Linked DNA regions of Arabidopsis thaliana. The protein of the gene in region 3 interacts with the protein of the main gene of each other region in a pairwise test. Each region holds a gene or a part of one and is shown on either strand. Other genes may lie near its edges. The genes, in order: AT5G07340, AT1G31130, ABCG13 and GB2.

The links.
Region 1: the proteins of ABCG13 (region 3) and AT5G07340 interact in a protein complementation assay, tested with the Arabidopsis thaliana proteins (one large-scale study listed by BioGRID).
Region 2: the proteins of ABCG13 (region 3) and AT1G31130 interact in a protein complementation assay, tested with the Arabidopsis thaliana proteins (one large-scale study listed by BioGRID).
Region 4: the proteins of ABCG13 (region 3) and GB2 interact in a protein complementation assay, tested with the Arabidopsis thaliana proteins (one large-scale study listed by BioGRID).

What each region holds. Positions count from the first base shown.
Region 1 is NC_003076.8:2,314,675-2,320,149, forward strand, and holds AT5G07340 (Calreticulin family protein), read left to right. Parts: upstream 1-2,538; 5' UTR 2,539-2,625; coding exon 2,626-2,736; intron 2,737-2,799; coding exon 2,800-2,869; intron 2,870-3,101; coding exon 3,102-4,237; intron 4,238-4,315; coding exon 4,316-4,387; intron 4,388-4,467; coding exon 4,468-4,578; intron 4,579-4,661; coding exon 4,662-4,784; 3' UTR 4,785-4,975; downstream 4,976-5,475. Other genes in the region: AT5G07330 (NFU1 iron-sulfur cluster protein), read left to right, coding at 1,390-1,407, 1,488-1,967; Tudor1 (TUDOR-SN protein 1), read right to left, coding at 5,347-5,369, 5,448-5,475. UniProt on the Arabidopsis thaliana protein: Calcium-binding protein that interacts with newly synthesized monoglucosylated glycoproteins in the endoplasmic reticulum. It may act in assisting protein assembly and/or in the retention within the ER of unassembled protein subunits.
Region 2 is NC_003070.9:11,113,876-11,118,357, reverse strand, and holds AT1G31130 (polyadenylate-binding protein 1-B-binding protein), read left to right. Parts: upstream 1-2,162; 5' UTR 2,163-2,429; coding exon 2,430-3,395; 3' UTR 3,396-3,665; downstream 3,666-4,482. Other genes in the region: GOA (GORDITA), read right to left, coding at 140-327.
Region 3 is NC_003070.9:19,075,835-19,083,300, reverse strand, and holds ABCG13 (ABC-2 type transporter family protein), read left to right. Parts: upstream 1-1,849; 5' UTR 1,850-1,965; coding exon 1,966-2,152; intron 2,153-3,734; coding exon 3,735-3,814; intron 3,815-3,898; coding exon 3,899-4,360; intron 4,361-4,434; coding exon 4,435-4,557; intron 4,558-4,639; coding exon 4,640-4,801; intron 4,802-4,888; coding exon 4,889-5,173; intron 5,174-5,255; coding exon 5,256-5,528; intron 5,529-5,623; coding exon 5,624-5,731; intron 5,732-5,812; coding exon 5,813-6,169; 3' UTR 6,170-6,463; downstream 6,464-7,466. Other genes in the region: TRO (TRAUCO), read right to left, coding at 7,081-7,346.
Region 4 is NC_003075.7:16,985,861-16,991,202, forward strand, and holds GB2 (GTP-binding 2), read right to left. Parts: upstream 3,188-5,342; 5' UTR 2,980-3,187; coding exon 2,934-2,979; exon of another isoform or gene 2,820-2,933; coding exon 2,680-2,819; intron 2,271-2,679; coding exon 2,188-2,270; intron 1,826-2,187; coding exon 1,621-1,825; intron 1,528-1,620; coding exon 1,459-1,527; intron 1,351-1,458; coding exon 1,258-1,350; 3' UTR 980-1,257; downstream 1-979. Other genes in the region: AT4G35850 (Pentatricopeptide repeat (PPR) superfamily protein), read left to right, coding at 184-249, 352-429, 533-634, 723-821; AT4G35870 (early-responsive to dehydration stress protein (ERD4)), read left to right, coding at 4,472-5,342. UniProt on the Arabidopsis thaliana protein: Intracellular vesicle trafficking and protein transport.

The DNA.
Region 1 (5,475 bases), on a different chromosome or scaffold from region 3:
GTTATGACCTACGTAGCTAGGTTTTAGTTTACAGTCGTGGTTAACTTAGAGACTCTTTGATCATCAATCAGTTAAGACCAATGCTTCTTTAAGCCATTTAGTTTATTCTTGATGATAAAAGTACGTAACATCATTTTTAAAAAATTGTGGTGAGTGAGTAAAAGTCACGATACAAAGAAAAATATTCATAGTTTGAAAAGAACGTAAAGTAGAGATGAAATGTGAATACGATTATATATATTGTTTACATAGTTAATGTATAGGCCTTTCTTTCTTTATATAGGATTGTAAAGCTCTTTACACCGCTTTATTTATAACAAAAATAGAAATGAGCAAATAATTACGTCGAATAAGCACTAATTCCATTAAAGTGGGAGCTAGTAAGCACCAAGCACACTAGTTCAACTCGTATCAATTTATTGTATTTAAATCAGTAGTTAAAACTTGTTTAATTTCCTCATTGAGAAAGATTTGCCCACTTTAGTTAAGTCTTATCCCAAATAGCACTTTAGTTAAGTCTTTATCCCAAATAACTTGTTTACTTTTACTTTTCTATTAAAATTATGAATAGTACTGAATTCACTATTTAAATAAAGGCACTATGAAATAAAAAGAACTCCATAAAAAATGCATTAATTATTTTATATTTCTTAAATATAGACAAACTTTATAGAATTAATGGCTACAATAAATATTACGTTGAAAATGTCGTTTTAATATTTCTCCATCTTTTTTACATAATATTTATATGAATTTAAATTTGAATGTCGATACAACGATAACACGAAGACGAGAAAATATAACTATTTTCATTAGAATTGACACCAAACATATTTAATCTCTTCATTTTTGTCTTAAAAACAAAAGAACATACTTTCGTGACATAGGTTCATTTAGTACTTGATGGATTTTCGTGCCATTGGTTCATTTACTCGATGCAAGGCACGGTTCCATCGACACAGCAGCAATGTGATTGTCACATGTCGCGTGGTAAGACGAGGGTTGCTAGAGCTTACCAGTAAAAGAAGATACACAAATTTTGGTCTTATCCATTAGGCATACAAATTTAAAATATAATTAATATCTCATATTTTTAATTTTGACAGAACCAATGAAATAAAACACGCGCATTACTGCAGTGAATCCCAATTATAAGGAATCTGATTTGACGTGGATCTTCAAGACACTTCCACGAATTAAACTGCATGTTCTTAAATGCTTACACGTATTACTTCTACAACTCTCTTCTCTACTCCAGATGTCTCCATCTTCCTTTTATATCCGATATCTAAAACGCTCTCAAGTATAGCACAATCCACAACAACAAAAAGTACAAATCTTACTCTTCTTTTCAGCTAGATTTTACTAATCACTCGCCAAGAACAACCAATGGCCGTTCGATCAACCGTAAGTAACCTAAGACGTCGTCGTTTCTCTATGATTCATTTGGTCTTCACGATTTGACTTTTATCATTTTGTGTTTGAAGGGTCACTTGAAAAACGTAGTGCAGAGGTTAAGAACTTACACGAAGGCGACAACCGTACCAAGATCCAAAGCGTATTCTACGGCGGCAACAGAGTATGGTGGCCAGAGAACCGCCACCACAGCGGCAGCAACAAAAGGTGACTTCACACCAGTTTACGTCTCCATAGGATTGATTTCATTGTCAGTAACATTTGGTGTCTACACTGCGTATCTTCATCTACATGAAAACCCTGGCGTACGTGTCAACAAGAAGATGAGAGAGACCGTTCCCGAGATCGAAGATCCAGATAGAGTTCTAAACGAAGCGGACCGGTTCGCTAACAGGTCTTGGTTTAGGAAAATAGCTCACGTTCAAGAGTTTGACAAGCAGGATGTGATCTCTGACCCAATCAGGAAAGACCAGTTTGCTCATAAACCTCGTGCCTTGACGCTTAAGGATGTTGGCGTTGATCCTAAGATATCGGCTGCTGCAGCTCACTAAGTTTTTATGAAGGCTGGTTTATGTGTTTTGTTTTCCATGTTTCTGTCGATAAATAAAACATCTGAAGGAGATCAAAGAGTTTTCAAATGGGTCGGTTAAGGTTTTATCCTGTTTCCTCTTGGATGTATTACAGTGATCAAGCAACTTTTGAGTGTATTTGTGTTGTTTCAACAGCATGTAAATTATCTAATGAAATTTCGGTCGAAGTAATAATACAACTTCGTTTTGCTTCTATTTTCTTCTGGATTAACGATTTTAGTAAAAATACTCATTTGGGAGAAACCAATTTCTTGGGTCTAGGTTTGAATGAGATAAAATGGTTAACTTCCTAACCTTCTAAGAGTGTCCGAGGATTCATTCGCATTCTAATTGGGCCCAGGTCAAGGCCCAGGACCAGGCCCTAGTGGGGTAAAATTTTGCACGCGTCGGTGCTTTGTTTTGGATGACTTGGCGAGAGGTGATAGGGTAGTGTCACGTTGGCGAGCGATATTCATTGGAAGATAACAATCAAAATGACGTTCGTAGGTCTAAGAAATACGAGGACTAAAGAGTAAAGAATATCTCTCTCTCTGATCTACTTAGTACTTACTTAGTAGTTACTTCTCTGTCTTATTTGATTTTGAGTCTCTGTTTTGTCTCTTCTCTTGAGATTGCGATAATGAGAGAACGGATTATTACATTCGTTTCGCTGCTTCTTGTAGCTTTGCTTTCGTTTCCCAGTGTTAGCTACTGTGACGACCAAACGGTGATTGGTCACTTCCTTGAAAAAGTTCCTATTTTAAAGATTTGTTCATCGAATCTCCAGTAACATGGTGTTTTTGTTGTTGTTCAGATCCTGTATGAATCGTTTGACGAGCCTTTTGATGGTCGCTGGGTCGTTTCAGAGAAAGCTGAATACCAAGGTAAAGCCATGTCGTCGTAGTGAATTCGTGTTTTGAATTTTTTGGTTTTCTTTCGTCTGTTGAAGTAAAAACAAGTTAGAATTAGTGTAATGGAAGTTACAATCAAAAGGGGGTCTTAAAGTTTTGGTTTTTATTGGAACAGATTTAGAAATGTTTACTTTTACTATAAGTGGATAAGAAACAGACTTTGTGTGAGCTCTTAAAAGGTTGCTTCTTATTTGAAATCTTTTAGGTGTGTGGAAGCACGAGAAGAGTGAAGGGCATGATGATTATGGACTTCTAGTGAGTGAGAAAGCTAAGAAGTACGGAATAGTTAAAGAGCTTGATGTTGATGAGCCTCTAAACCTTAACGAAGGAACTGTTGTTCTTCAATACGAGGCTCGTTTCCAAGAAGGGCTTGAGTGTGGTGGTGCTTACTTAAAGTATCTTCGTCCTCAAGAAGCTGGATGGGTTCCTCAAGGGTTTGATAATGATTCTCCTTACTCTATCATGTTTGGACCTGATAAGTGTGGTGCTACCAACAAGGTTCATTTCATCTTGAAGCATAAGAATCCCAAGAGTGGCGAGTTTGTTGAGCACCATCTCAAGTTCCCTCCTTCTGTTCCGTTTGACATGCTTTCTCATGTCTACACTGCGGTCTTGAAATCTGATAATGAGGTGAGGATTTTGGTCGATGGTGAGGAGAAGAAGAAGGGTAATTTACTGTCTGCTGAAGACTTTGAGCCTCCGTTGATTCCTTCCAAGACCATCCCTGATCCAGAGGACAAGAAGCCAGAAGACTGGGATGAGAGAGCCAAGATTCCTGATCCTAATGCTGTGAAGCCTGATGACTGGGATGAGGATGCACCCATGGAGATTGAAGATGAGGAAGCTGAGAAACCCGAAGGATGGTTGGATGATGAGCCTGTAGAGGTTGAAGACCCCGAGGCAAGCAAGCCAGAAGATTGGGATGACGAGGAAGATGGTGAGTGGGAGGCTCCTAAGGTTTCCAACACCAAGTGTGAGGCAGCACCCGGATGTGGCGAATGGAAGAGACCGATGAAGAGGAACCCTGCTTACAAGGGCAAATGGAGCTCACCTCTCATAGATAACCCAGCTTACAAGGGAATCTGGAAACCAAGAGACATTCCAAATCCTGATTATTTTGAGCTTGAGAGGCCGAATTTGGAGCCCATTGCTGCCATTGGTATTGAGATATGGACAATGCAAGACGGTATCTTATTTGACAACATCTTGATATCTAAAGACGAGAAGGTTGCTGAAACTTACAGACAAAGCACTTGGAAGCCCAAGTTTGATGTGGAGAAAGAGAAACAAAAGGCAGAGGATGAAGCTGCTGGTGAGGCAGATGGTCTCAAGAGTTACCAGGTATATTGATTTTCGCCACAAATTTGGAATGCTTATACATATCCTTTGTACTTATATTATGTATGTGCATTACTGCAGAAGAAGGTGTTCGACCTCTTGTACAAGGTTGCAGACATTTCTTTCCTTAGTGCGTACAAGTCAAAGATTATGGTAAGTTCTCATTTTCAGACTTTAGAAACATATTGTATAATGAAGAATCTTAAATGAGAATTTGCAATTTTCGTTTGTAGGAACTTATTGAGAAAGCTGAAACACAGCCAAACTTAACCATCGGTGTGCTCATTTCCATCGTGATCGTCTTCCTCTCTCTCTTCTTCAAGCTCATATTTGGTGGTGCAAAGGTAAAAAAAAAACATGTCAGTGAGATGTAATGTTTTGGTTGGCGGGTGTTTGAGTCTTAACGAAATTCTTGGTATGTATGTAGGCTAAGGTAGAAAAGAAGAAACCGGAAACAGCTGCAGAGACCTCGACAAGCGAGGCAAAGACAGAGGAGAAAGCAGAAGCGGTGGCTGCACCACGAAAGAGGCAGACGAGGCGTGAGAGTTAGATAAAAAGAGGATTAGATTTTGATTTTTGGGGCTTTTTGTTTTGATTTATCACCGTATAGACAAACAGTAGTGGACCTGATATTAAGACGATTATTGTAACATGTTTTTTTTGTATGCTTTTAGTTTCACATGAATCTGAATGTGGATCACAACATTTATGAGTTGAAATTTGATAAGTAATGGGTTGTGTACATCACATGCATCAGCATTATCAGTTTATCGTCTTTAGCTCGAGTGTTTACAACAAAATCTTAGCTTCGAGATTTAGACTTCTCTACCAAAGGGTCTTGATAGCCATGGCACGAGACTCGTATGATATACTAACCACAGTTAGGTCTGTTTGCAGAATGGATTCTTTGACAGAGCACGAGCTTCAGCAGCCAGAAGAGCATCATAAAGGTTTGATCGCTCTTCAAAATCTGTGTGTCTAACCACATTTCCAAAACCACGGGCAAGAACGAGCTCAGCACTATTCACCAGCTGGCTGACTGCCAGCAGATGATGCAGTCACTTCATCAGAAAATAAGACCAAAGTTGCTCCAACGACCATATCCTTCCTGCTTAGTCTCTGCTCTTTTTTTGTTCTTTCTAATGTCAGTGTAACATAAATAAGACGGCTTAAGGAATGGAAAGATAAGTTGGACCAGAAAACACACAAAAACTGTAAGCATGGTTCAAACTTCCCCTTAT
Region 2 (4,482 bases), 8.0 Mb from region 3:
TGATGGTATTGATTAATTACAACTAGAAAAAAAAACTTCAATAACTCTTTTTTTCTGTCCATATTAAAGAGCATTCATTTTCTTTTCTTTTTGTTTTACCAAAACAAGAACACACATATGCATGATTTTATATATAAACCTGGTAGAGTTGGAGCAGAAATCGTAGAGCCTGTTGGAGTGAGAGAAGATGATGAGACCAAGGTGGACATCGCAGAGAACAGAGAGTTCATATGCCTTCTTGATTAGACTCTTCTTTCTCTTTGCGAATGTCACTTGTCTCTTTATTTTCTCCTCTATCTTTTTTATCACTCTCTTACCTTTCCTCATCTTCAATCGATCTATCTTTCTAAAACCCTAATTTCATGAGAATGTTAAACGAGAGAGTGAGATAGAGAAAGAAATGTGGTTGCTTTTTTTTTTTTTTTTTAGCAAATGAAACCTTGAGATCAACAGTTTCTATTTAGATAGGGACTGCTACTTTTGTAAGTATGGTTTGGATGGTTCATTAAATAATAATAGGTATTCTTACTAAATTTATTAAATAATAATAGGTATTTCTTTAGTTTGTGTTAGGATATGCTTATATTTAGGGAGAATTAGTTGTTATGACTTGTGAATTCGATTTAGGGTTTGAATGGTTATGGCGGTTGGGACGGACAAAACCGTCAACGAATCAGACTATTTTTATTTACAATTCATCAATGACCAAAAAAAATAGAAGAAAACCGCAGCGGATCATCTACGGACCGTTTTTACATACAAATAAACTTGGTCCGCAGCGGTTTATTGTTCGCCTCAAAAATGAGATGGACTAAATCGCAGACAAATTAAACCGCTTTGTCCGCTACCTCCATTCATAGTCTTACTGTTATAAATTACGTGTTGGGGTATTTATTTATTTTTCAATATTTTGATGATACACGGTCTATTATTTTTCTTGTAATAAGGCTTTAAGAGGCAAGTGTTTAGTTTAAGTATTGGTTTATTACATTCCATTAGTCATTCGATTAAAGTAGCTAGTGTAGAAAGAACCTAGTGCCAGAAGAAAAAAGATTAAAACACATTCGATTAAAAACACATTTGTTACATATCTTTATAAAAGTTAGAAAACCAAAACAAAAGTTGAAACTTGAGAGTATATAATCATGGACCGGCCGGTCTTGTCCATTTCTTATATTTCTCTATTCGAAATTGAAAGTATAATTAAAGAAATCGTGTGTGTAGGATAGTGCTTATACACCAACATTTGATTGCTAGTTCTATTTCCTTACGTAAACTTATAAGATCTCCAAATTAAACACATACAAAAAGTTACAAGTTCAATATTCATTGCAAAGATAATTTTCACATCTATTAATTATGTAAATTAGTAGTATTTAAGTTGACATGGACAGTTAACTGTTGGGACCATCGGTCCATGTGATTTCCCTGCACCTCAGATTCAGTGGAAGTAAGCATTAATCTTTGATTTTGTTTCTATCATAAATTAACTTCATCAGAAAATTTATTAATCCTATTTCAAACAAGGTCGTATCAATAAAACTTTTTTTTTTCTTCTTCGTATTAATAAACTTTTAACATCATTAATTTTCTGTTTGCTCTTTTTAAAGTTTTGATCCTGATTTCCTCATTATTACGTGAAAACAAATCAAAACATACATAATCACACATACAACCGAAATATCAAACCATTAAACTTTCATTTTTCAGATTACAATATTCAAAAAAAAAAAAAAAACAGATTACAACATTTCTGATATGTCGTTCAAATTAAATCATATTTATTCTTTGAACTTATTTATTTAATTTCAAAATGTAAATAAATAACATTAAAAAAATGTAGTACATATATATGTATTACAAATATGAAAATCTGAATACTCTTCTAGAGTATTCTTCACGGTGAATATTAGGTATTAGGTGCATAATTAAACTCTATCAAAATTAGATTTACCCTATCTTACCATTTCTTTGTAAGTATACAAGATTCATAAACTCTATAGAAAGTCTAGTTCCATGATTGCGTCTCAGCTCATGCAAAGAGAGTTGTGCTCATAAAACTTGACCAAATCTCCTTTTCCTTTTTGTCCATCTCTTTACCACTTACATATTTTCCCATAAAATAACGATTCCATCATATTAATTAAAGCAAAAAATAAACAATTAGTTGCCCCCCCCCCCCAAAAAAAAATGGTCACAATAACAATACTAGTCAAAACGTGTTATATGAGTTTCCCAGAAGTTTCCAAGGAAAAAAAAAGTCTTTACCCGTAAACATTTTTTCTCCATCTTCTTGATATCAACAAAACACACCTCAACAAAAAAAAAAAAACTTCATCTCTCTCAGATTTCGAAATTGACCCGTCGGTGATTCTTAATCTCTCCTCTCTGTTCTTCTCCGATCAAACCTCATTCCAAAGAAACAAACCATGGATCTCCAACCAGAAGAGCTTCAATTCTTGACAATACCTCAACTACTTCAAGAATCAATCTCAATCAAGAAACGATCTCCAAGAACCTTCTACCTCATAACCCTCTCCTTCATCTTCCCTCTCTCCTTCGCTATCCTCGCTCACTCACTCTTCACTCAACCAATCTTAGCCAAACTCGACAAATCCGACCCACCAAACTCAGATCGTTCACGTCATGATTGGACTGTTCTTCTAATCTTCCAGTTCAGTTACTTGATCTTCCTCTTTGCCTTCTCTCTTCTCTCAACCGCTGCTGTTGTCTTCACCGTCGCTTCTCTTTACACCGGAAAGCCTGTTTCTTTCTCGTCAACTCTCTCTGCGATTCCCAAAGTCTTTAAACGACTCTTTATAACTTTCCTTTGGGTTGCTCTGTTGATGTTTGCTTATAACGCAGTCTTCTTTGTCTTCCTCGTGATGCTTCTCGTAGCTCTTGATTTGAATAGTTTAGGTTTAGCTATTGTAGCCGGGGTTATAATCTCTGTTCTATACTTTGGTGTTCATGTTTATTTCACTGCTTTATGGCATTTAGGTAGTGTAATCTCTGTTCTTGAACCGGTTTACGGAATCGCCGCTATGAGAAAAGCTTATGAGTTGCTTAAAGGGAAGACTAAGATGGCTATGGGGTTAATCTTTGTTTATCTTTTCCTCTGTGGATTGATTGGAGTTGTTTTTGGTGCTGTTGTGGTTCATGGTGGTGGGAAGTATGGAACTTTTACTAGGACTTTGGTTGGTGGATTGTTAGTTGGTGTTCTTGTGATGGTTAATCTTGTGGGTTTGTTGGTTCAGAGTGTGTTTTACTATGTTTGTAAGAGTTATCATCATCAGACTATTGATAAGACCGCTTTGTATGATCAACTTGGTGGGTATCTTGGAGATTATGTGCCTCTTAAGAGCAACATTCAGTTGGAGGATTTAGATATTTGAAGATTTGTCAAGATGATGATTCTCTTGTACTGTTTTTCTTCTCTTATTACCATTCTCTCTCTCTCTTTGTAGTTTGTAATATTGGAGAAGAAGAAGAAATTTGGAATCTGAACAATAGTTTTAATGTAATGTGTATGTATTAGACTCAACACTCTTTGTTGTTGTTTTCATTTGATTATTATTACATGATTTGAGTTTACTAATTTATTCTTGTTGAAAGATGTGTTTTATTCTTCTCATGTTGATGATAATTATTATCCGTTAAAAATGTTGGGTTTTAGATGCTTAAATTGATAATAAATGAAGGAAGTGGCTTGTTTAGATATGTAATTAGCTGTAGGATTTGACCTTGGAATTAACCTACACTAAGTTAAGGTCGTAGGAGCAATTATTGTGGATACTTTTGTAATGTTTATAAATCTGAATTTTTGTTCGTGAGTGGGAGGTTTGGTTACACAACTTACACTAAACCGAATGGAAACCAAATTTAAAACTTAATTCAAAGAAGAAGAAGAAAACAAAAATACATCTTCATTCATTTTTAATCTGATTTTATCAATTTTTATTTTGTATTATGTGAATTTAAAGTTAGATGGTGATGTATCAACAACACTAACCCAAATAGTAACTAATGCTAAATATCGTGAATCATGATCAATGAAACAAATTTGGAATAATAAGTCAATGTGAATCATGCAATGTTTTGTTTTGTTACCCTGATCATGCATTGTTTTGTTTTGGAACAAAAATTGTCCTTTTTTTTGTTAATATATAAATGAATGAACCATATACATGCCACATAGATAACAAAATTTCGGTGAATCATGGAATGTTTTGTCAGCCTAAACTCCCAAGCAAGTATTGGTGGTACATCGTTTTGAGTTCTACTTCTATAGTTCTATGTAACCAAATATAAACTGAGATTTGATTGGGCCTTTTAATTCTGAAGTACCCAATTAAACTCTGGTTTCTAGGCCCAACAAGAACATCTTCTTTTACGAATTTTTATCAAGAACAAAATAACGTTTTTAAGGACTGCAAGCAACTTCTTATATTTCTTTGTCAAGTTTGTTGACTTATTTTTATG
Region 3 (7,466 bases):
CACATATATTTTATTAGGATATTTCTAGCATTTATGGACCACAAGAAAATAATTATAGTTGTTTTTTTTTTGGTTAAACAAAAAATTGATTATAGTTATGATATGGAAAAGATGGAAGAAGTCATTTAATAAGTTTATCTAACAATCTATGATTAGGTTATCGCAGTAATGAATTTTCTTTCTTAGCAGAAATGAATAATTTAGTCACACTAACTACATAGCTTTAATTTCTGTTGATACAATTGAAGACAAGAAGACATAAACGTTGAAACAGTGTATTTGGTACTGTGTATGTGTTTGATTAGCACGAAACATGGTTAAAAACATCACATGGTTAAAACAAATCCGTCACCATCTGTTTTTTTTTTTTTTTTTACAACATACTTGTTTTCCATTCGTCATATCCGAAAGAGAATAAATTTGCAAGCTCTTCAAATTCATGGTTCGGTATTATAATCTTAAAAAAAATATATAAACTTACAATATAAATAGAACGATAGGTTTGATAAACAATAAAAATAGATGATAGGGGGCCATAAATAAAAACTCGAAAACAAAAGTTAAATAGCAAAATGCAACAAGCAAGCTCATGATGTGTCGAATACACTTCTGCAAACAATTTGGGGGAGATTAAAAATAGTCACTATAAAAAAAATCTTATGACGTTGAGAATCCGTCTTTTGCCTCAAAAATTACCAACACGAACCACATTGAAGCAGCAAGGAACATTGGACGGTTTCTTTCCAGAGGCAGAAACTAAATAGTATATCTCAATAAGAAATTTAACATACGACCAAAATTAATTGCTTTATAAAAATAATTAAAATATTAATGATAACCTTTTCCGTGGTTAATTTTCGGCCATTATGATAAAATAATTGATCCAATCATATGTTTACACAACATACTTAAAATTCCTTATATACTCTCTTGATTACTTTCTTACCAGTTACATAAACTCAATATGCAACAACTAGATTACTTTAATCTAAACGTTCTGATATACGGCCTTATGTCGATGTTAAGTTATATATATCACGTTCACAATGTATATAAATAATTCAAATAATTTTCCAAAAGTAATGGCGTCTAAATATAGTTGAGTTGAATAGTATAGACTCTCCTCATGGATTTGAATTTCCTCTGTGATTCGTTTGAAAAAAAACAATGTTTTGGAGTGCTATACTAGTTGATACACCCAACCAAATCGGAATTTTATAAAAAATTTGGACAAAATTACCAGAAAATAAAATTATTGCAATTTACGTGATATATACCCTAAAGTGTTATGTTTCCTTAAATCGTGTAACGAAACCATAAGTTTCTTATCATGCGGATGTCTGTAGCTCTCGACATATATAGTACCGAACGGGTCCAACGAGTAAATGAATATAACATCAAACGTCAATTTTTCTGTCACATGCCTCGTCTATGCATGCATGATAGTGTACATATATAATAGTTTCCTTTCTGTCTTTTACACTATTCTTAATCCACTTTTCTGTTTTGCATGGGTAGATATTTTGTTTTGGTTTCATAAAATAAATAGAAACCAATATCATTTAGTTTGGTTCGATTTTTCTTCGGATTCTAAATTTTTTTTATTTTATTTTAACTAAACTATATGTTTTATTTATTTTTAGTCATGATTTATTTTATATATCAAAAATATGTAACCGAATTTATTACATCTAGTTTTTTCCAATCACTTTCTTTGGTACAGTTTCGGTTTGACTCAAATTAGTTTAAACCAATTTGGACCACCCTAATTTATACATTTTTTTTTTCAAAGACCCTAGTTCTCTTAATACATTCACCGCACAACTTTTTATAACTATAAATAAGGCCACAAGCATTCACACACATTACACTTTTCTCTCCCAAAGAAACAAAAAAAAAAACTCTTAAGCTAGAACAAGTTTAAAACTCTTCGCTCAGTTTTCGATCTATCTAACAAAAGCATACATGACTACGCCGGAGGGGGCGATGTATGTGGCGTGGGAGGATCTTACGGTGGTGATACCAAACTTCGGTGAAGGAGCAACTAAGAGATTACTGAATGGAGTGAATGGTTGTGGTGAGCCAAATAGGATCTTAGCTATTATGGGTCCTTCAGGTTCAGGCAAATCTACGCTTCTTGATGCTTTAGCAGGTCCCTTCTCTCTCTCTCAGACACACACACCCATACATGTCAAGATTAGCTCGTCGTTTTTATTATGTATTTCTTTTATTGTTAAATGGTTTTCCTCTATTATATAAATCTCAAATAAGCTGAAGCAACATCGACCAACAATTAAAAGATATAGTTTTTAGAGGAATTTAACAACCAACCACATTTAGCTTTGAAACCAACATTAAAGGATGAGACTTACCCACTTTGAACCTAGTATTTAGTGAATCGTTCTATGTACTCTATATATATATATATATAACTATAATTAACAATATACATGACGTTATGTCTTTCTTTTAAAAAATTGTCCAAGGAAACTTTCTCAATATACTATGTAAAAAGTGTTTCACTTTTGGAAAATAAGAAATTTCTGTTTTCTTACATTAAAAAATATTCACAAATCTTTTAGTAATTTTTATTTGGAATTGATAAGGATTTCTGCCATTCGTAGTTAAATTTGAGAATATAAGTTAGAATTTATTTGTTAGATATATATATATATATATATATATAGGTGTATGTCTGTGCGTGGGTGGGTGTGTGTCCTATTCAACATAAAATATTTAATTATTATTAACCTGTAAATTCGTATGTAATCAAAATTAACTAATATGATACTTGATTAGTTTTTTGTATATTGGAAAAATACATTACTACAATAAAATTGATAACTTTCCTATTTGAAAGCAACAAACTATGTACATACTGTATCAGTATCACAATTTGGTGAAATGAAAATATTAACTGAAGTTTTTGTACTCTTCTGTAATTTTTTTTTTTTTTCTTCTGTAACTTTGACCAAACGTAACATATATATATGTAAAAGAAATTTGAGAGCATGATATAACATATTTATGTATCAAGATATTTATAACTATTGAAAAACAGTGCTATATTTATATCTAAGTTTCATGTACACGATGAGACATATATAGATATTTCTAACTTTATATTTATGGATTCTAGCTACCAATTTTATTTTTTAAGTATAGCTATATACTATCGGAGTACTAAATAAATATTAAAAAAAAAATAGTTGCAATTTTCATGTTCTTAATTAATAAATTTACATCGTCGTACATTTAGTATTGAATAAATTGATAGTTACGTTTCTCTAACGTAGACTATGTACAGAAATTTTGCAGTAACATTTCTTATTAAATCATATTTTAAATGTTAACCAACTACCAATCACCAATATTCTGACACAAATATTTAGGATTGCACGATCGTATCTTCATACCGACTTGCGATCTCTTCACAAGTTGAACCCGGTTTGGTGACTGGTCGGACTCTTTGAGGGATGTTACGTTCAATCCAAAAACAATCCAAATCGATTATTATTTTCTTGACCAAACCTAAATTTGATTGGATTAAGAAGATCTTTATTTTATGCTTATGACTAATCGAAACCAATTTAATTTTACTGTGGCTAATATTCTTGTAAAAGCGAAAAACCCAAAACCGGGTTATAAGATTGTTCTATCAATGCTATAAGATTGTTCAAAAACATGAAAGATTTAACATCTAACATTAAAAGGTAAATTTGGTGATGGTACAGGAAGATTAGCAGGGAATGTTGTAATGAGTGGCAAAGTACTTGTCAATGGCAAGAAGAGAAGACTTGACTTTGGTGCTGCCGTAAGAAAATTTATCTTTTCTCTTTAGTTTTTACCCTTTTACACAATCAAACTATTATTATTCATGAATGTCCTAAACTCTCAGGCTTATGTGACGCAAGAAGATGTGTTGCTAGGAACTTTGACAGTGAGAGAATCCATATCTTACTCGGCTCATCTCAGGCTCCCTTCAAAGCTTACCAGAGAAGAGATCAGTGACATTGTGGAAGCTACAATCACTGACATGGGTCTTGAAGAATGTTCAGACAGGACCATTGGAAACTGGCATTTGCGTGGAATAAGCGGAGGAGAGAAGAAACGGCTTAGTATTGCCCTCGAGGTCTTAACAAAACCAAGTCTCCTCTTTCTAGACGAACCAACTAGTGGACTGGACAGTGCTTCAGCTTTCTTCGTGGTTCAGATTCTTAGAAACATAGCAAGCAGTGGCAAAACTGTGGTTTCTTCGATCCATCAGCCGAGTGGTGAGGTTTTCGCCCTCTTTGATGACCTGCTACTTCTGTCTGGAGGAGAAACTGTTTACTTTGGCGAAGCAGAATCTGCAACAAAGGTAATAAGATAGAGCATTGGCAAGAGTATATAACCATTATGCTCATTTGTGTTGTTGTTGCTTCGACATTGCAGTTCTTTGGTGAAGCAGGTTTTCCTTGTCCAAGTAGACGGAATCCATCAGACCACTTCCTTCGCTGTGTCAATTCCGATTTCGATAATGTCACAGCGGCTTTGGTTGAATCTCGGAGAATCAACGTTTGTTTTCCTCTGCCCTTCTTGTTTTTTCATGAACTTACAATACTCTCAAGCTTTTGACCTCGACCTTTTACATCTGCAGGATTCATCTTTCTCTCTTCACCAACTACATGAAACTACAAACACATTAGATCCTCTGGATGATATACCAACTGCAGAAATTAGAACAACACTTGTCAGAAAATTTAAGTGTTCACTTTATGCAGCAGCTTCAAGAGCAAGAATTCAAGAAATAGCATCGATAGTAAGTTACGGTTACTACTTCCCTTAAAACTACAATGTATCACATAATGAGAGTCTCATAAGCACAGTTATAAACCTTGTGCAACAGGTGGGGATTGTCACAGAAAGGAAAAAGGGGAGCCAAACTAATTGGTGGAAACAACTCAGAATACTTACTCAGCGATCTTTCATCAACATGAGTAGAGACTTGGGGTACTACTGGATGCGGATTGCAGTCTACATAGTGTTATCCATTTGTGTCGGGTCAATCTTCTTCAACGTCGGGAGAAACCACACAAATGTTATGAGTACTGCAGCTTGTGGCGGATTTATGGCAGGCTTTATGACATTCATGTCAATAGGAGGATTCCAATCCTTCATTGAAGAAATGAAGGTAAAGAGCTAAACAGAGAAAAATTCTCTTTCTTCACCTAAAAACTTATCTTATGTTTTAGCATCTTTATTCCTGAAAACAGGTGTTTTCTCGCGAAAGGCTCAATGGACACTATGGGGTTGCAGTATACACTGTGTCTAATTTACTCTCCTCATTACCTTTCATAATCCTTATGTGCCTCTCCACCAGCTCAATCACTATCTACATGGTGAGGTTCCAATCCGGAGGTTCTCATTTCTTCTACAACTGTCTCGACCTTATCTGCGCGATTACAACTGTGGAGAGTTGCATGATGATGATAGCTTCAGTAGTCCCTAACTTCTTGATGGGAGTCATGTTGGGAGCTGGTTACATTGTAAGAGTGGCCTCTGTCGCTCTTTCACCTACAAGCTTTCTTATATCTCCAAAAACTATTCTAAATTGAAAACCGCTTTATCCTTCATCTCATAGGGAATTATGGTGTTAAGTGCGGGGTTTTTCCGATTCTTCCCCGACTTACCAATGGTGTTCTGGCGATACCCGGTGTCCTACATAAACTATGGTGCATGGGCACTACAGGTAACCAGGTTTTCTCAACTTTAAGATGCAGACTATATCGTCAAGTAGCTATCTTAAATGAGCATACCTGATAAATTGCAGGGAGCATACAAGAATGAGATGATTGGGGTGGAGTATGATTCTCCGTTACCCTTGGTACCAAAAATGAAAGGAGAACTCATTCTTCAAACTGTTCTAGGCATAAATCCAGAAAGTTCAAAGTGGTTGGATCTAGCAGTTGTGATGATGATTCTCATTGGGTATAGGATTGCCTTCTTCGCCATCCTCAAGTTCCGGGAAAAGGTTTTCCCAGTTATTCACATGTTATACACAAAGAGAACTCTGAGCCATATCCAGAAAAGGCCTTCTTTCAGAAGAATGACACCTTTCCCTTCCAGGCGATACCCTGTTCACCATGCTCTCTCTTCTCAGGAAGGACTTAACTCTCCACTGCATTAGAAGCATATACAGCAGGATGCAATTTCCATATATTTCAATATGTCAGATGTCACTCTCTTCAAACTTGATAAACTGTTTGTAGCCCGTTGTGTAAGGAAAAAAAAAAGAAAAGAGAGATACTATCATTCTGACTAATGAGATTTGTTTAGCATGAGGATGGTATCTATCAGAGATACATATATTGGAGAAAAAAGATAAGCATGGCTACATTATCAGATTACAAGTGATGCATGCATGAACCCCTAAGAGAGAGTCTACCAACGAACCACCGTAAATATATCAAATAAGGCACTTCGTTTGCTAACATAGCTTCAGAAGAAACTGTGTTATGGAAATCAAATAAACAGAAGATGGTATGGAGATTTGTTACCTGGCTGGCAGTAGAACACTGGTCCTTGCTTGATAGCACCAGTGACGCAAATCTATAATCTGTGCAGCACAAGAACAGAACAGACCAGGCATATTTGACTTTTATCACTAAGTGCCATGAAATCTCCTCTTTTAGCATATAGTTGATAGGGAATAGAATCAAAACTAACAAAAGTAACCTCCCAAAGGCGTTTGTTGAACAGATAGAGAACAAACAACGAGATACTTAAAACCTTAAAAGTGTAAAACCAAGCAAAAATGGTAAATTTTCAACTTTGGGAACCCAAATATAAGCTCCCAGAAATATTACATAGTAAGGAAAAAAAATACACAAACAATCAATAACTTTAAACAAATATGGCTAATCCAGTTGTAAAATCAGAAAAAACCAGTCTGATTATTTTAGAGTAGACATGTACAGAACTCATTTGTTGTTCATTTGCTACCCTATGACTGTTACAACTAAACTCATCCAAATCTGAACCAAGAACTAGTTTGGGAAAACTGTGTTAAAATGTCAAGAATACGCCTGCTGGTTCTGCCTAACTCTTCATATCCTCAGAACCATTAGTTTCAAGTCTACCATTAAATCCATGATATGGAACCTCCCACATCGGCCTCGGGGTAGCACGCCCACCAAAATCCTCAGGGAAAAACTCAAAACTGGGGCCAAAATTGAACTTCACAAGACAATTTGACTGGTCGGGAAGAGTGTACATCGAAGCAGCAGGGTAGTAACGACCGCCAACAATATCTGTGAAGGCCGCTCCCTGACATACACCATTTTTGAAGAACGATATTTCACTGCCTGCATCAGAAGTAAAGGTATCGTTAACGAAAGATTGGTCATTAATCTTCCAGAATTGCACAGATACCATCTACATCATAGATGTGGAGGGTAGCAAAAACAAAACTAAGGCATTTATCT
Region 4 (5,342 bases), on a different chromosome or scaffold from region 3:
TTATAGTTGTTGATTCTCAATTGTCAAACCCCGCAAATGTATATACAAATAAATCTAAATTCTCAACTAACGCATTAGTCGAAGAGAATTATGCTTCTGTCCTGTTTCCCATACTTGGTTCAACATATCTTTGGGTGATATGTATATGCTGAAGATGTCAATTTATTTGTTTTATTTTTACAGACGCTTATAGAAGGAGCTATGACAGGATACACCGATAATGGAATGAAGATTGCTCAGGACACTCTGGTAATGCTTATTGGCTCGAGCTGTACTGAAAAAAAGAATCTATGAAGTAAACAAAACACGGGCCAATAGTAGAGCCTGATGACAATTTGTTTGTAAATGCAGATCCAAATGAACGAACGCAATTTCTTCTTAGACCCAAGAACTGGAAGCAATCTGTTACTCAAAGCCGCTGGTGAAAAGGTAAAAATCTTGAACTTCCCCTAAAAACTTTGGAAATATCTTACTGATATAAAGAGTTGGCTTAGTGAAAGTTAAAAAAAAAAAAACATTTTCTTTATGGCAGACGGGAGGGTACACAGTTGCAAATATGATATGGGATCTGATGCTAGCTCGGAATATTCTACCAACACTAGCTGCTGTTGAAGCTTACTACAAGGGCTTGAAAGTAATAAAAAACCTTTTTCTTATTTGACCACAAACTTTCTTTCTCTTGGTATTAGTTATTGATGGTTTTTGTGGTGTGGTAATCATAGGAACGCGAAATACCAGAGGATGATCCGAGACTGATGTTAGTGACGCGAACATACAATAACTTGCGGCTTAGGGAAGGGACATTACCTAATAGGCGTTAAAGCAAAGGGACCAAGAGGAAGAAAGATGGTATCATGGCTTCTTCGTTTTCTACTTCTATTTGCTTATTGGGATCTCTGTGAACCATCTGGGTATTTTAAAACCAGTTCGTTTAGATGAATAAGGAAATTTCACCTAGATGATGACTGGATATTATTCTGATTTGATTTCAATTACTTAACCTTGAGAGCTTCATACAAAGCGACAACGTTTTAAATAAGCCAACGCCTGTTTGGTTTATAAAGATCAGCCTGTTCACTCTTAAATGCACCCGTTTGGTTTTTTGATAAAAGACAATCTGGGAAAAAGAGAAAAAAAGAAAGAAAGAAAGAGAAACTATACATTCTGGTGTATCCATTTGCAGAGGTAAATAGAAGCAATAGTAGTTTCTGAATCACCAGATTACAGCAGATATGTGACACCTCTCTCGAGGATTTTTTAACCACAACAGCCACCTCCCTGAGAGATCGTACCATCTCTTCCTCCAGCTGCACCTTGAGTACGCCCGTAACCAATCTTGATACCTGATGACTGCAAAATTTAGAGAGACCAAGGGAATTGAATCACATTGTAACACAATCGAGGGATTAGAGAACACCAGAAGACTAAGTATATTGCCAGATTCAACAAGGAAATTACCTCGTTGGATACATCAAAGACACCATCCTGAATGTTCTGGAGGATCTTGGCAGCAGTCTCTATGAAGGCCTGTTGGAATCCAGAAAAAGAAGACAAAAGTCTCCATGTGATTACAGCCAAATAACAGGATGGGGAAAAAGAGTTGCAAGGAAGAAATGTCACCTCCTCAACGTTTTGAGCAGTTCTTGCAGATGCTTCTAAGAATAGCAGGCCATGTTCTTTGGCAAACTGTTGACCTTCCTCTTTGCTAACAGCTCTCTTGTGAGCAAGATCACATTTGTTCCCAATCAGCATAATACTCATGTTAGGATTTGCATGTTGCCGAGCATCCTCCAACCAGCTTGCCAGATGGTTAAACGTCTCTCTCCTGCAACCCAAAGAACCAAGAATTTTGAGCTTCAGAAAGATCAAAGCATGAAAAACCTCAATGATAAAACTCTTGCAATTCTTCATGTCCTTCATAACTTTCAAAATTCCAAAACAATGGAGGAAAAATATCTATTTTAGCAAGAATTTAAGATGGATGGTTAACTTAACATCCTCCCAAACAAGCATTGCCAATATTATAGCCAAGGATTTTGTTCAGATAAAAGTAACTTCCCAATTTCCAAAACCTTTCCAACAGTCTAGGTTTATCAAATCACAAATACAGAACCAATCACTTCCAAAACCTTGCTGGGGAATTCAGAAGTTCGAGCTGATATATATTGTCGCAAGGCAAAAACTAACCTGGTGATGTCATAAACCAGTAAAGCTCCGGCTGCTCCTCTGTAGTATGATCTGGTGATGGATCTAAAAGATTCTTGTCCAGCCTAAAAAATATCATACGAAACTTTAATCAGAAAGCACAACTCCAACACATACATCATCTAATGGAAGAACTATTGACCAGAAGAAATCACAACAAGGAATGCACTGGTGAACTCAGCTTCTATTACAATAAGCCTATGAAACTTAATCAAGAACCGTGCAATGATTAACTTTTTTGAAATTTTACCCCACTTTGAGTCTCTGGACATGATTTTCAAACATAATTTTTGGTATTGGCAATTCTAATGAGGCATTGTTTATATAAAAACGAAGAAATTGAATTGATTATGACAATTAATCTTCTTAATCACATCCTGCCTTAGGGAGAAAAAAAAAACAATCCTAATCGATAAAACGTGATTAGTTCCCTGATGACCTAATTACGACCAAGAGAAGAGAGAGGAAGCGTACGGTGTCCCAAATTTGGAGTTTGATGGGGCGTCCATCGACGGTGACCATCCGAGCACCGAACTCAACACCAATGGTGAGATCGTGGACTGGTTGGAACCTCTTATCAGTAAATTGCAGAAGCAGACACGATTTTCCCACACCTGAAACGACAAAAAAAACAACAACGAAAACACATGAAAATCGGCACGAAATGGATTTAACCCAGAAAAATAAAACAATTGGGAATTAAGAAAGGTGAAAGATCGGTCTCTCACCTGTGTCTCCGATGATTATGTACTTGAAGAGATAATCGTAAGACATGGTTGATGAATTTGAGCAAGGTCGATGATGAATTAGCGCAGGTCGATGGGTTCGAGAGAAGGAGATGTGAAAGAGAGGAAGAAGAGATTGAAGAGTACAAGTCACCGACGTGCTTTTTGATTTCGAGGTTTCTCGATGAAGAAGCTATCTTCTCCTTCTCATCTTTTATAATCTTTTTACTTAATTACTAAAATTAAAGGGATCTAATGACGAATTATCTGAATAATTGTTTTTCTTTTGTATCCTTAAGTTTCAACAGTAAATAAAAATCCACACAAAATACTCTATAGTATAATTTATTAATTATTATAGTCGTTTTAGTTAATTATTTAAAAACAGAGGGACCAGATGAAAAATATCTGGGAAACAAATTAAAGCTTAAAATCCATCTCTGCCTTTGGCTCCGTCCACTCTGACTCGACTAGTGCATCATCCATTGTTGGGCATTTGATAGTTTAAAGTGGGCTTTTTTATTTTTTTATAATGTGGGCTTTTTTCTTTGATGTTGAATGGCTTGGTTAGTGGATTTCGAGACCAGCATAAGTTTCTTTTTTCTATTCATCTGAAGCATGGCGCAGTCCATAATCGCTAAATTGATGATACAAAAGAACTTGCACATCAAAACTGTGAACTTACCAGAAATTTGCATTAGCAAAAGCTTCTTTTATTATATGATGGGGAATACACACGTACCTTGATACAAGGCTACTAATATCAATTGTGTCCGGATTATCACGGTAGTATGCTCTGTTTCATATCTCTTATGGAAATTACATAACTGTGTTTAAGATGAATGTTCTAGTGGGAAGATAAGAAGAACTCAAATCCTACATTAGAGATGAGTTCCTTACAAATGCTTATAGTCTACAATGGCAAATTCGAGAAGCAAATTCGAAACAGAGTTCCATCCATTAGAGAACAGGGGATGTTATTTCATCCCAAACTCAAACCGATCTTAGTTATGTTATTTCGTATTTTTTTGGGTATTTTACCTTCAAATTATTTGATTAATTTCATGCTTTAAGGAGAATTTGATTAAAATGAATATACAAGAGTTATGAATTTGATTATATTCTCTTATTCTACTAATCACGAAATATTTAGAGAATATGTAATTATCGTTTAAAGAACTATCGTTTTATTCATAAAAACTCTGTAAATTACCAATTTGATATACTTCTATCAAATTATTTATATTTTTTAGTTGTGTTAATTCGTTTTTTTTGGGTGTATTTATCTTAAAAAGATGGGATTAAATTTCATGATTTAAGGAGAAGAATCTTTTGAGAGATTCGAAACCGCGATAGCATTCCTTGTTCCTCCTTTTCTATTTACCTTTCTACTTTTGCCATCATCTTCGTCGATCTACTTCCCCCAAAGTCTAACCCTAAAGCCCCCAAATTTCTCCTGATCAAAACCTTGTTGTATAAATCCTGAATCTCTGAAGAAACTTCGAAGATTTGGGTTTCTCAATTTGGTTGAGAAATTCGCGATGAATCGCAATTTTTCACCAGCTGCGATGCCACCGATTTCATCAATGACAATAGATAATTCATTCTCTCCTCCTCCATCTTCCGGCGACTTACCTGAAATCCCAGATGCTTGGTACGGCAACATTCAGTATCTGCTTAATATCTCGGTCATTGGTCTCTTATGCTGCGTCTCCATCTTTCTCTTCGTTAAGCTACGCAGCGACCACCGTCGTATGCCTGGTCCTTCTGCTCTCTTCTCTAAGCTCCTCGCCGTTTGGAAAGCCACGTGTCGCGAGATCGCTCGTCACTGTGGTGCTGATGCTGCTCAGTTTCTTTTAATTGAAGGTGGAAGCTTTGTGCTTCTTTTCTCCATTGCTGTTTTAGCTGTTTCGGTTATGCTTCCGTTGAATTTATATGCTGGGACTGCTTTGTTGAGTGATGAGCTTTCGAAAACGATGATTACGCATATTCAGAAAGGTTCAGCTTTGCTTTGGCTGCATTTTGTGTTTGTTGTTATTGTTGTTGTTATCTCGCATTTTGGAATCGCTGCTATTGAAGCTAGGTTGAAGTTTACTAGGTTTAGAGATGGGAATGGGAATATCAGTGACCCGAACGCGAATTCTACTGCTGTGTTTACTATAATGGTGCAGGGTTTGCCTAAGAATTTAGGGTCTGATAGAGTTGAGTTTGAAGATTGCTTTAGGCTGAAGTACCCTGGGAAAGTTTATAAGTTTATTGTTCCCATGGATTTGTGTGCTTTGGATGATCTTGCTACAGAGTTGGTTCGTGTTCGAGATGAGATTACTTGGTTAGTTGCCAAGATGGACTCTAGGCTTCTACCGGATGAGTATGAGAATGTTGGAGATAACGGACTAGTGTTCTGTGTGTGTT